Linked DNA regions of Xenopus tropicalis. The protein of the gene in region 1 interacts with the protein of each later gene in a biochemical or structural test. Links are inferred from orthologs where the notes say so. Each region holds a gene or a part of one and is shown on either strand. Other genes may lie near its edges.

Region 1 (4,299 bases):
TTCTGACTGGGTGGTCAACACAATGTAGTTGAAGGCACTTATAGATAAGAGAAAAGAGATGTTTTAAAAATATTTGTTGCATTGTCTGGGCAGGAAAGGTAGCTCTTTTTTTTTTTGTAAAATCATTTAAACAGGTTTATTGTTTACTGCTATTTGCAAAGGTAAGGGATATGTAAAATGTTCTCAAGGGATCGGTTTTATTAAATATCAAACAAAAAAGTTAACACTGTAAGCCATGGCAGTCCAGTCAAATTTGACTAATATAATCACATTAATAAAGCCAGAAGCCAACTATTATAGGAACGATGATTCATAATTTCCAGTATCCTGCAATTTCAGATTAAGGCAGAAAACTTGTAAATGTACTTACCATATGTGAAACAGAGTGATTTTGTACATTTTGTTAAGTAACATGGAGTGCCCTCCTAGAATGCACTTACATGTGCAGTGAGCTCTGCTGCCAGTTGGAGTTAGGCTGATGCCACACCAGGCGTAGGGCTGATTTTTTCGGCAAGCGGAAAAAATCAGCCCTACGCCTGGTGTGGCATCAGCCTTAGTCTCTACAGAATGACAGTTATCAATGTCTCACAGCTGAAACATCTGAGGCTTAAGACTAATGCCACACGAGGCGTAGGGCGGATATTTTCGGCAAGCGGAAAAGCGCTTGCTGAAAATTCCGCCCTACGCCTCCTACATGTGCCTGCACCCGAATGAATGAGATACGCTCGGGTGCAGGCACATGTAGCCGATATGCGCATAAAAACACGAGACTTTGCATTATATATATATGGGCTACATGTGCCTGCACCCGAGCGTATCTCATTCATTCGGGTGCAGGCACATGTAGGAGGCATAGGGCGGAATTTTCAGCAAGCTCTTTTCCGCTTTCCGAAAATATCCGCCCTACGCCTCGTCTGGCATTAGCCTTACATTTATTACCATACCTGCAAAACAATGGTTCCAAATGCATGCTTCAGGATATTAACCACTTCTGCATGTGACAGCCCATCCACTGGTTGCTGGTTAATGCTGACAAGCCGATCCCCAACCTATACCCCACAAGCCCATGATAAAACATACAGGTCAGGATTAATTTCAAAAGATGGTTATTAAATATAATGCAGTACTGAATATTTTCTTTACTTTGCAATTTTGAGAATAGAAAATATTGCAAGATTAAGTAAGTACAAATTGAGAATTAACAGAATTTTGTTAAATGACAAATAAAAGGGCAGATTGGCACAATTCACTACTATAAACTTTGCCTCTACAACAAGCTGCTTAAATGTACAAGCAAAAAACGTCCTTACAGTAATATCTTCTATGGAAACAGCATAATATATAGATTGTAAGCTCTAAGGGGCAGGGACCTCCATTCTCTTGTGTCTTTGACTCTTAACTTATTGCAACTATATCTTTTATTTATTGTTAAACTTTATCTAATTTATTATTATCTTAATAACCCCGTTTGTATTAATGTATTCTACTTTACAGCGCTGCGTACAGTAGCGCTTTATAAATAAAGATATACATACATAATTCTAACATAGGCACTTGGTTTTTATAGGTCATTGCCATGTTTACCAATAAAACAAAGTATGATGAGAATGGGGCATAATTTGGTTTTCCTTCATTATGGTTAAAGGTCAATGAGAGAAGTAAAACATGTAGAACCATCTCACCATAATGTGCTTTTATTAAGACAAAATATAATTTGCTTATGCGTCATTACTGTTCGTAAAAGTCACATGGTGATAAAAACAGATACTTACTTTTAATTTGTGTGTCCGTGCTGCTACACCACTAGCTTGGATCATAGCAATGAAAACTGGGATATCTCCCAATGGGCTGCCTTTCCCTCCTGCGATACTGATCCCAAGAGCATCATAAGGGCCCTAACAAAGTGTGAAAATGGAAAGGTATTAAGTCATTGTATATTTCCCTCCAACTCTTATTATAGCAAGTGTAGTTTTTCTTTACTTACTCTATTAATTTCTACAGTCCGTGGCTCCAAGTCTGTGCCTGTATTTAAAGGGGATAGATATCTTAAATACTTATTCATTGAAAAAGTAAAAGTGAAGTGCTAAATTTAAAGGTAAAGCAAAAATAAAAAAACAAAACAAAACAAAGCACTACAATAGAAAGACAAATACAATAGGTGACCCCTGAAAGGGGCTGTCTCTAGATATTTGCTCTGAAGACATATTTCTCCTTCCCACAAGTTATCTGGATTACAGCCATATATAATACTATATTATTCTCTTCTGCAACACTGCCATGCTGTATATCACACAAGTAAATAGAGAACAACACATTAAAAAGGAAAACAAATGAAGGTGAGACATCACCCTGGTTCAGTAACTGCATTTCCATGTAGTCTTGACTGCAGTTCAGTTCAGAATACTGGTACTCAGAGTAAGGAATGTATTTGCTTATACTGGCTCCACCATGTATTTGTTTATTTAATTGTCCATTAGCAAAATGGTTGTAAAAATAAAATGAAATGGTAACAAAATATTAGGAAAGACAAACAAGCAATGGTCGTATGGTCCTACTAATCAATCACAGTACTGCGTACACAAATTTATTTCAGACACTCTGAATGCTAAACCTTTAGAATAGTAGTTAGGGCACAGCGAGCACAGAGAGACAGTAAGACTGAATGACCATTTACTGACTCAAAAATTATACCCAAGACTTTCTGATGATTTTAAAGTATATCTGTAGTATTCTTTGTCTGCTTTATCTTTTCAGAACCATTCCTTCTCTCTTTAATGCCACATATGTCACAGGCACAATAACTCCAAGCCACTGTAAAAAGGTAATAGAATTGTAGTACTGCACAGTATTTACCAGAATGCCTTTGTGATGAGTCTGCAGAGGATTTCTTGGAGCTAGCATAGTCTTGCATGCTGGAAATAACTGGAGTTAATGATGGAGGAAGAACACCATGGGAACTCATTTGGTTGATCTAGAGTGCAATTCAGTAATATGTTCTTCAGTTTAAATGGTACAAACAGACATTACATCCATGCATTACTTAAGAGGCAATAAAAATATTTTTTATATTTCTTTAGGTGAAATTTCCCCAAGTGGCTGCAAGTTACATTTATACCACAAATGGATACACATTTTGAATTAACCCGTAAACTAGCATATAATATAATTTATAACACAACAAATAATACTAGTTGTTAAAATAAAATCTGGCTAGGTTAATGAGAATAAATACACATTATTTCCTTCTACTAACACAATTATTGTGTTTATTATAGGCTTGCATATTATCTGACCTACATCTTGCTTTTTCTCACTTACTCTTTGTATGTCTCTAGAAATCTAGAACAGTTACTTGCAAAAAGTTTTAAACAATGAACAACCAGATTATTTAGGCTTGTTAGCAGTGTATCCTCTGGCTTCTCTGCATTACAAGTCTCTATTAATATTATGTTTTTAGCTATTTTAGGAATCTTTGAAAGTGCCTATTATTTTAATATCTGCCTTTTGCCTTTCTTTGGTCTGAAATACTTAGTGTTCTAGTTCAGAAACAGTGAAAGAGCTATAGACTGGGAAACTCAAGAATGAAAAGTACTGCTACAAATAAATACCCATTTTTCAAACAAGGCTAGTTGCTCTACAATTAGTTGTTACACTATTTTGGGCCAATATACAGCCCAAAAAGCCAATACAGTCAACGGGTCTTCTGTGTGGATTCTTATATTGAGTGAAAAAAAAATGACTTTTAGATCTAATAAAGAATTACCTGTTACTTACAATACAGATACAGTTGTACGGTTTCACAGGTTATACAATAAAGCACTTAAATAAATATACAGAAACTACATTGCTGCTTTTGTACTATATTGTACGCTGCCATAAAAGGCTCACAAAATAACAGAACTACCTTTTTTTTACACTGTTAACCTGATACTGTATTCTGGTCAGACATTCTTTAAATTACCTGGGGAATATGGTGAACATTCCATTGATATATAGTATTGCAGTATCTGACTCCAGATTATGAATCACAAAAATATATTTTATATCAATCATGAATACATAAAGAGGAGGGGGAGAATCAGTAACCGACCTGACTGGCTTCAAAGGTTTTTTTGGATGCAAGCCAAGATCCAACTCGAAGTCTTCCAATCTCTAGATGTACAAGTCCTTGAGCACACTTGAGATAAAACAGGAAATTCTTTTAAAATCAGTGCAATGGAATTTTCTCACAGAAAGGTATAGACTTTATTCAAACATTAACTATTAACCCTAACTATATCATTTAAATCACAAGTGGTT
Region 2 (4,299 bases), on another chromosome or scaffold:
AATATCCTGTAAACTAGAGTCGAGTGATTGCCTTCGGCCTCATGTCTTTATATGGCCATGGAACTACTTGGTGACTTTTAATATCCTTATATTTTACAACAGGGGGTGCACAATTCACTATACAGGTATAGGACCCATTATCCAGAATGCTTGGGACCAAGGGTATTCCGGATTATAAAATCCAGTAAGGATTAATTATATCTTAGTTGGGATCAAGTACAGGTACTGTTTTATTATAGAGAAAAGGGAATCATTTAACCATTAAATAAACCCAATAGGGCTGTTCTGCCCCCAATAAGGGGTAATTATATCTTAGTTGGGATCAAGTACAGGTACTGTTTTATTATTACAGAGAAAAGGGAATCATTTAACCATTAAATAAACCCAATAGGGCTGTTCTGCCCCCAATAAGGGGTAATTATATCTTAGTTGGGATCAAGTACAGGTACTGTTTTATTATTACAGAGAAAAAGAAAATCAATTTTAAAAATCTGAATTATTTGATTAAAATGGAGTCTATGGGAGACAGGCTTTCCGTAATTCGGAGCTTTCTGGATATCGGGTTTCCAGATAATGGATCCCATACCTGTATAATACAGAAGAGCCTTGAATATACTGTAAAATACATCCTTATAAACGTTGCTTGGTGATTTTTAGGTCACATGACTCACTAAAACATCTGTATAATAATAAAATCTGTACCCCCCGTTGTAAAATATAAGGGTACAAAAGGTCACGTTAGAGTTCTGTGACCTGTATAAAAGCTCTCGGCCTTTGTACTTGTACTAATTTTATAGCGTCATGGAATTCCTCTATTACTTCCAATATCCACAGAGATTACAATAGGGGCTACATTATTCCCTTTATAAATGCTTAGTGAGGTCATTAGTGCTATTAATGATGACACCTACCTTATAAATATTATATAAATATTTCAGGCTCTACCGTTACATAGCCTTATGCCCTTACAGGGTTACTGACCTCATTGGCATCTAATACACTGTAGCCACGTGCCCTTATATGGGCAAAGGAGCAACTCCCGGCAAACTCCGGTTCAGGAGCCATAATTCATAAAGAGAGCAGACGGCTTGACCTGCCCTATTTGAAAATACTAAATAAATAAAAAACACATATTCTAGTCCCTGAGCTGGGAAAAGCTTCTTTCTGTAGAAATTGGATTGTGCAAAGCAGCGGCTGACCCGCTTGCATCCTTACACGGCTGCTGATATAGAGCAAATATCATGGCTGCCGCCCAGGGAATTGTGCTCACTTGAAATTATATTCCTTCTCACAAGATGTTACGGCAGTAGAACCGGGAGAGATATGAGTTCTTGTTTCTAGATACTGCCTGTTACTTACAATTATTTATTAGCATTATTACAGTTGTATCTTTTGGACTGAAGATTCTTTGTGGCTTTATGTAAGAAAATGATAATTAGGTAAAAAGCAGCTATAGCCTAGGGGAATATATCTCTGTGCCGTTGGCAGTTTATGTAAAGTATAAATATATGGGATTACCGAGACTAAATAAACTGTACGCATTCCTTTAAACAAGGGCAAATCGCTCATATTCATTCTTTCTGTATTTATACTAACACAAATGACTGGAAGCTGCCATGTTGCTTGCTTTGGTGGACACAGTCTCCATATTGATCAACTAGAGTCTATAGAGAATGTGCCAGTAAACTCAAGCAAGACTGCAGCTGCACCATGACTCAACCAGGGCTTCCTTATGAGTGAACTTTTAGGAGGATTTCTCATGGACTGATGGGGATGTGCCAGTTCAGTTGTGTGTCCGAATTTCATGGAGAGACCCCACAGCAGTGTGTATTTTAAAGGGATACTGTCATGATTTTTATGGTATACTTTATATTTCTAAATTACACTGTTTACATAGCAAATAATTCACTCTACCATTTACATTTTTATTCTTGACCCAACAAATGTATTTGTAGCTGTAATATTGGTGTGTAGGCGCCATCTCAGTGCATTGTGCCTGAGTCTGAGCTTTCAGAAGGAGCCAGCGCTACACATTAGAACTGCTTTCAGCTAACCTATTGTTTCTCCTACTCCCATGTAACTGGAGGAGTCCCAAGCCGGACTTGGATTTCTTACTATTGAGTGCTATTCTGATACCTACTGGGAGCTGCTATCTTGCTCCCTTCCCATTGTTCTGCTGATCGCCTGCTGAGGGGAATATCACTCCAACTTGTGTAGCCCTTGTGTAGGGGAGACATGCCAGCTGTAGCCCTTGTGTAGGGGAGACATGCCAGCTGTAGCCCTTGTGTAGGGGAGACATGCCAGCTGTAGCCCTTGTGTAGGGGAGACATGCCAGCTGTAGCCCTTGTGTAGGGGAGACATGCCAGCTGTAGCCCTTGTGTAGGGGAGACATGCCAGCTGTAGCCCTTGTGTAGGGGAGACATGCCAGCTGTAGCCCTTGTGTAGGGGAGACATGCCAGCTGTAGCCCTTGTGTAGGGGAGACATGCCAGCTGTAGCCCTTGTGTAGGGGAGACATGCCAGCTGTAGCCCTTGTGTAGGGGAGACATGCCAGCTGTAGCCCTTGTGTAGGGGAGACATGCCAGCTGTAGGGGAGGCAGAGTAGCCTCAACAAAACCAGCAGATTCCAACACGGGGCTAATGCTCCCTGTTAGTAGCAGGGCTGGAACCCACAAAATTCTATGCTTATCAGCACCAGTAGCAGTTCTTTCTATCGCTATACCAACCAAGTCTTCCTGCGGGGGCTTTTTTTTCTTTTTCTTTTTTTTCCCCCAACAGCTGGAGTCAGACTCTTTGCTGGGGGACTCCTTGCAGAAGCCGTCCATTTCGTTTATTCCCAGCATTCGAGCCTGAGGCACTTCCAGTTCCAGGCGGTAGGACAAGTTTCTCAGCGTGCATACGCAGTTCTCCACCGTCTGCAACACAAACAAGAGATGGAGCGCTCAGCAAACATTGCTTTCATATCCACTGCTAATCCCAAATCACTCGGCGGCAAGAAATGCTCAGTATTTCCCGAATGCCGTGCAGTCAAGGAGCAGATTGGCTGGATTCTGAGGGCTAATATACATGGAGCGTTTGTTTACCTTAAACTGATAACAAGGGGAGGCTGTACAATATTCACTCTGCTTATGGAGGGGCAGAAGCAGAGAAAGAAGGGGGGCAACCCTGTGCCTAGGATGGCACCAATATAGGGTGGCTAATTTGGCAAGTCCTATAACTTTTATGCTTCTTATTACCATGGCAACACCACTCACATACAGGAAAAACATTTAAAAAGTGTAAGAATGTTTTATGCATTCAAGCTAAAGGGCACATATACCTACATACATAATAAGAGTGCCCCCTGCTGTTTTGTCTGAGTGGAGACCAAGCAGAATATCGAAAGCTTGCCTTACTGAAGCAGAAGGTCTCCTGAGGCTTCTCTGCTCAGCTCTAGCACTAAGTGACATTTTAAGATATAAGCCAACACATTTCTTTCCATGTAGTTACAAGGCATTTGTGCTACAGGCCTATTACACAGTTTAGCTGCCAGATGCTCAGAGAAGGGACAAGGCAATGATGTGGGGTGGGGCCTTATATGTTCTGCATCAGGCTTGGTAGAATGGCACAAAGCTTTAATTAAATTAAATAATTAAAATACAACCTGGCACAGGCTGTTATAAATGGTTTAATCTTACAAAACAGCCCCCCCCAGGCGCAACATGCCATGACTGCATCCCTTTAACAGCAGGGGTTGTAAGCTTGGGGGGTATGTACAAGGGACGATGCCCTTAGACTGTGATACCTTCTAGTAAGACTAGTAAATATCCTATCTATAACCTGGACCCATGGCCAACAACCTGGACCCACATTTTTACTTGCTTTGACCTAATACCCAACCCACAACTGCCATATCCGCACCTCGATCCACAACCCGCTGACCACCATTAACAGGAAGAGCTGTTGCTGCAAACCAGAAGTGACATCAGAAGTGGGCAGGGGTAGAAAAAAATGTTTAATGGAGTAGAATATATAATATAAGAAATATGGATAAGATCCACAACCCACATCTGAAAATCGTACCCGCAACCCACAGGGCACTCACTTTCCTTGAGGGTAACCCACAAGTACCCGACCTGTTGCAGGACTGTTAGTTAGACACTGCCCTGTCCCGGCTCACACCTCCCTGATACCCGGTGCCTAGAGCTTGTTCTGATAATGGTTTACATAAGAATAAAGAATATAAAATACCTTGCTGTCAAAATCCGATGTGTTCACACAGGTTTGGATCACAAAGAGCAGAGAATCGACCAGCCCTTCAC

Evidence for each region. The genes of interacting proteins can lie anywhere in the genome.
Region 2: the proteins of patj (region 1) and pkp4 interact in a test that uses a peptide from one of them, tested with the Homo sapiens proteins (2 studies listed by IntAct, with this or other methods). The link is inferred for Xenopus tropicalis from reciprocal best matches to the Homo sapiens genes PATJ and PKP4.

What each region holds. Positions count from the first base shown.
Region 1 is NC_030680.2:85,652,113-85,656,411, forward strand, and holds part of patj (inaD-like protein), read right to left. Parts: intron 4,178-4,299; coding exon 4,091-4,177; intron 2,972-4,090; coding exon 2,854-2,971; intron 2,023-2,853; coding exon 1,985-2,022; intron 1,896-1,984; coding exon 1,773-1,895; intron 1,050-1,772; coding exon 945-1,049; intron 1-944.
Region 2 is NC_030685.2:73,515,630-73,519,928, forward strand, and holds part of pkp4 (plakophilin-4), read right to left. Parts: coding exon 4,229-4,299; intron 2,914-4,228; coding exon 2,725-2,913; intron 1-2,724. UniProt on the Homo sapiens protein: Plays a role as a regulator of Rho activity during cytokinesis. May play a role in junctional plaques.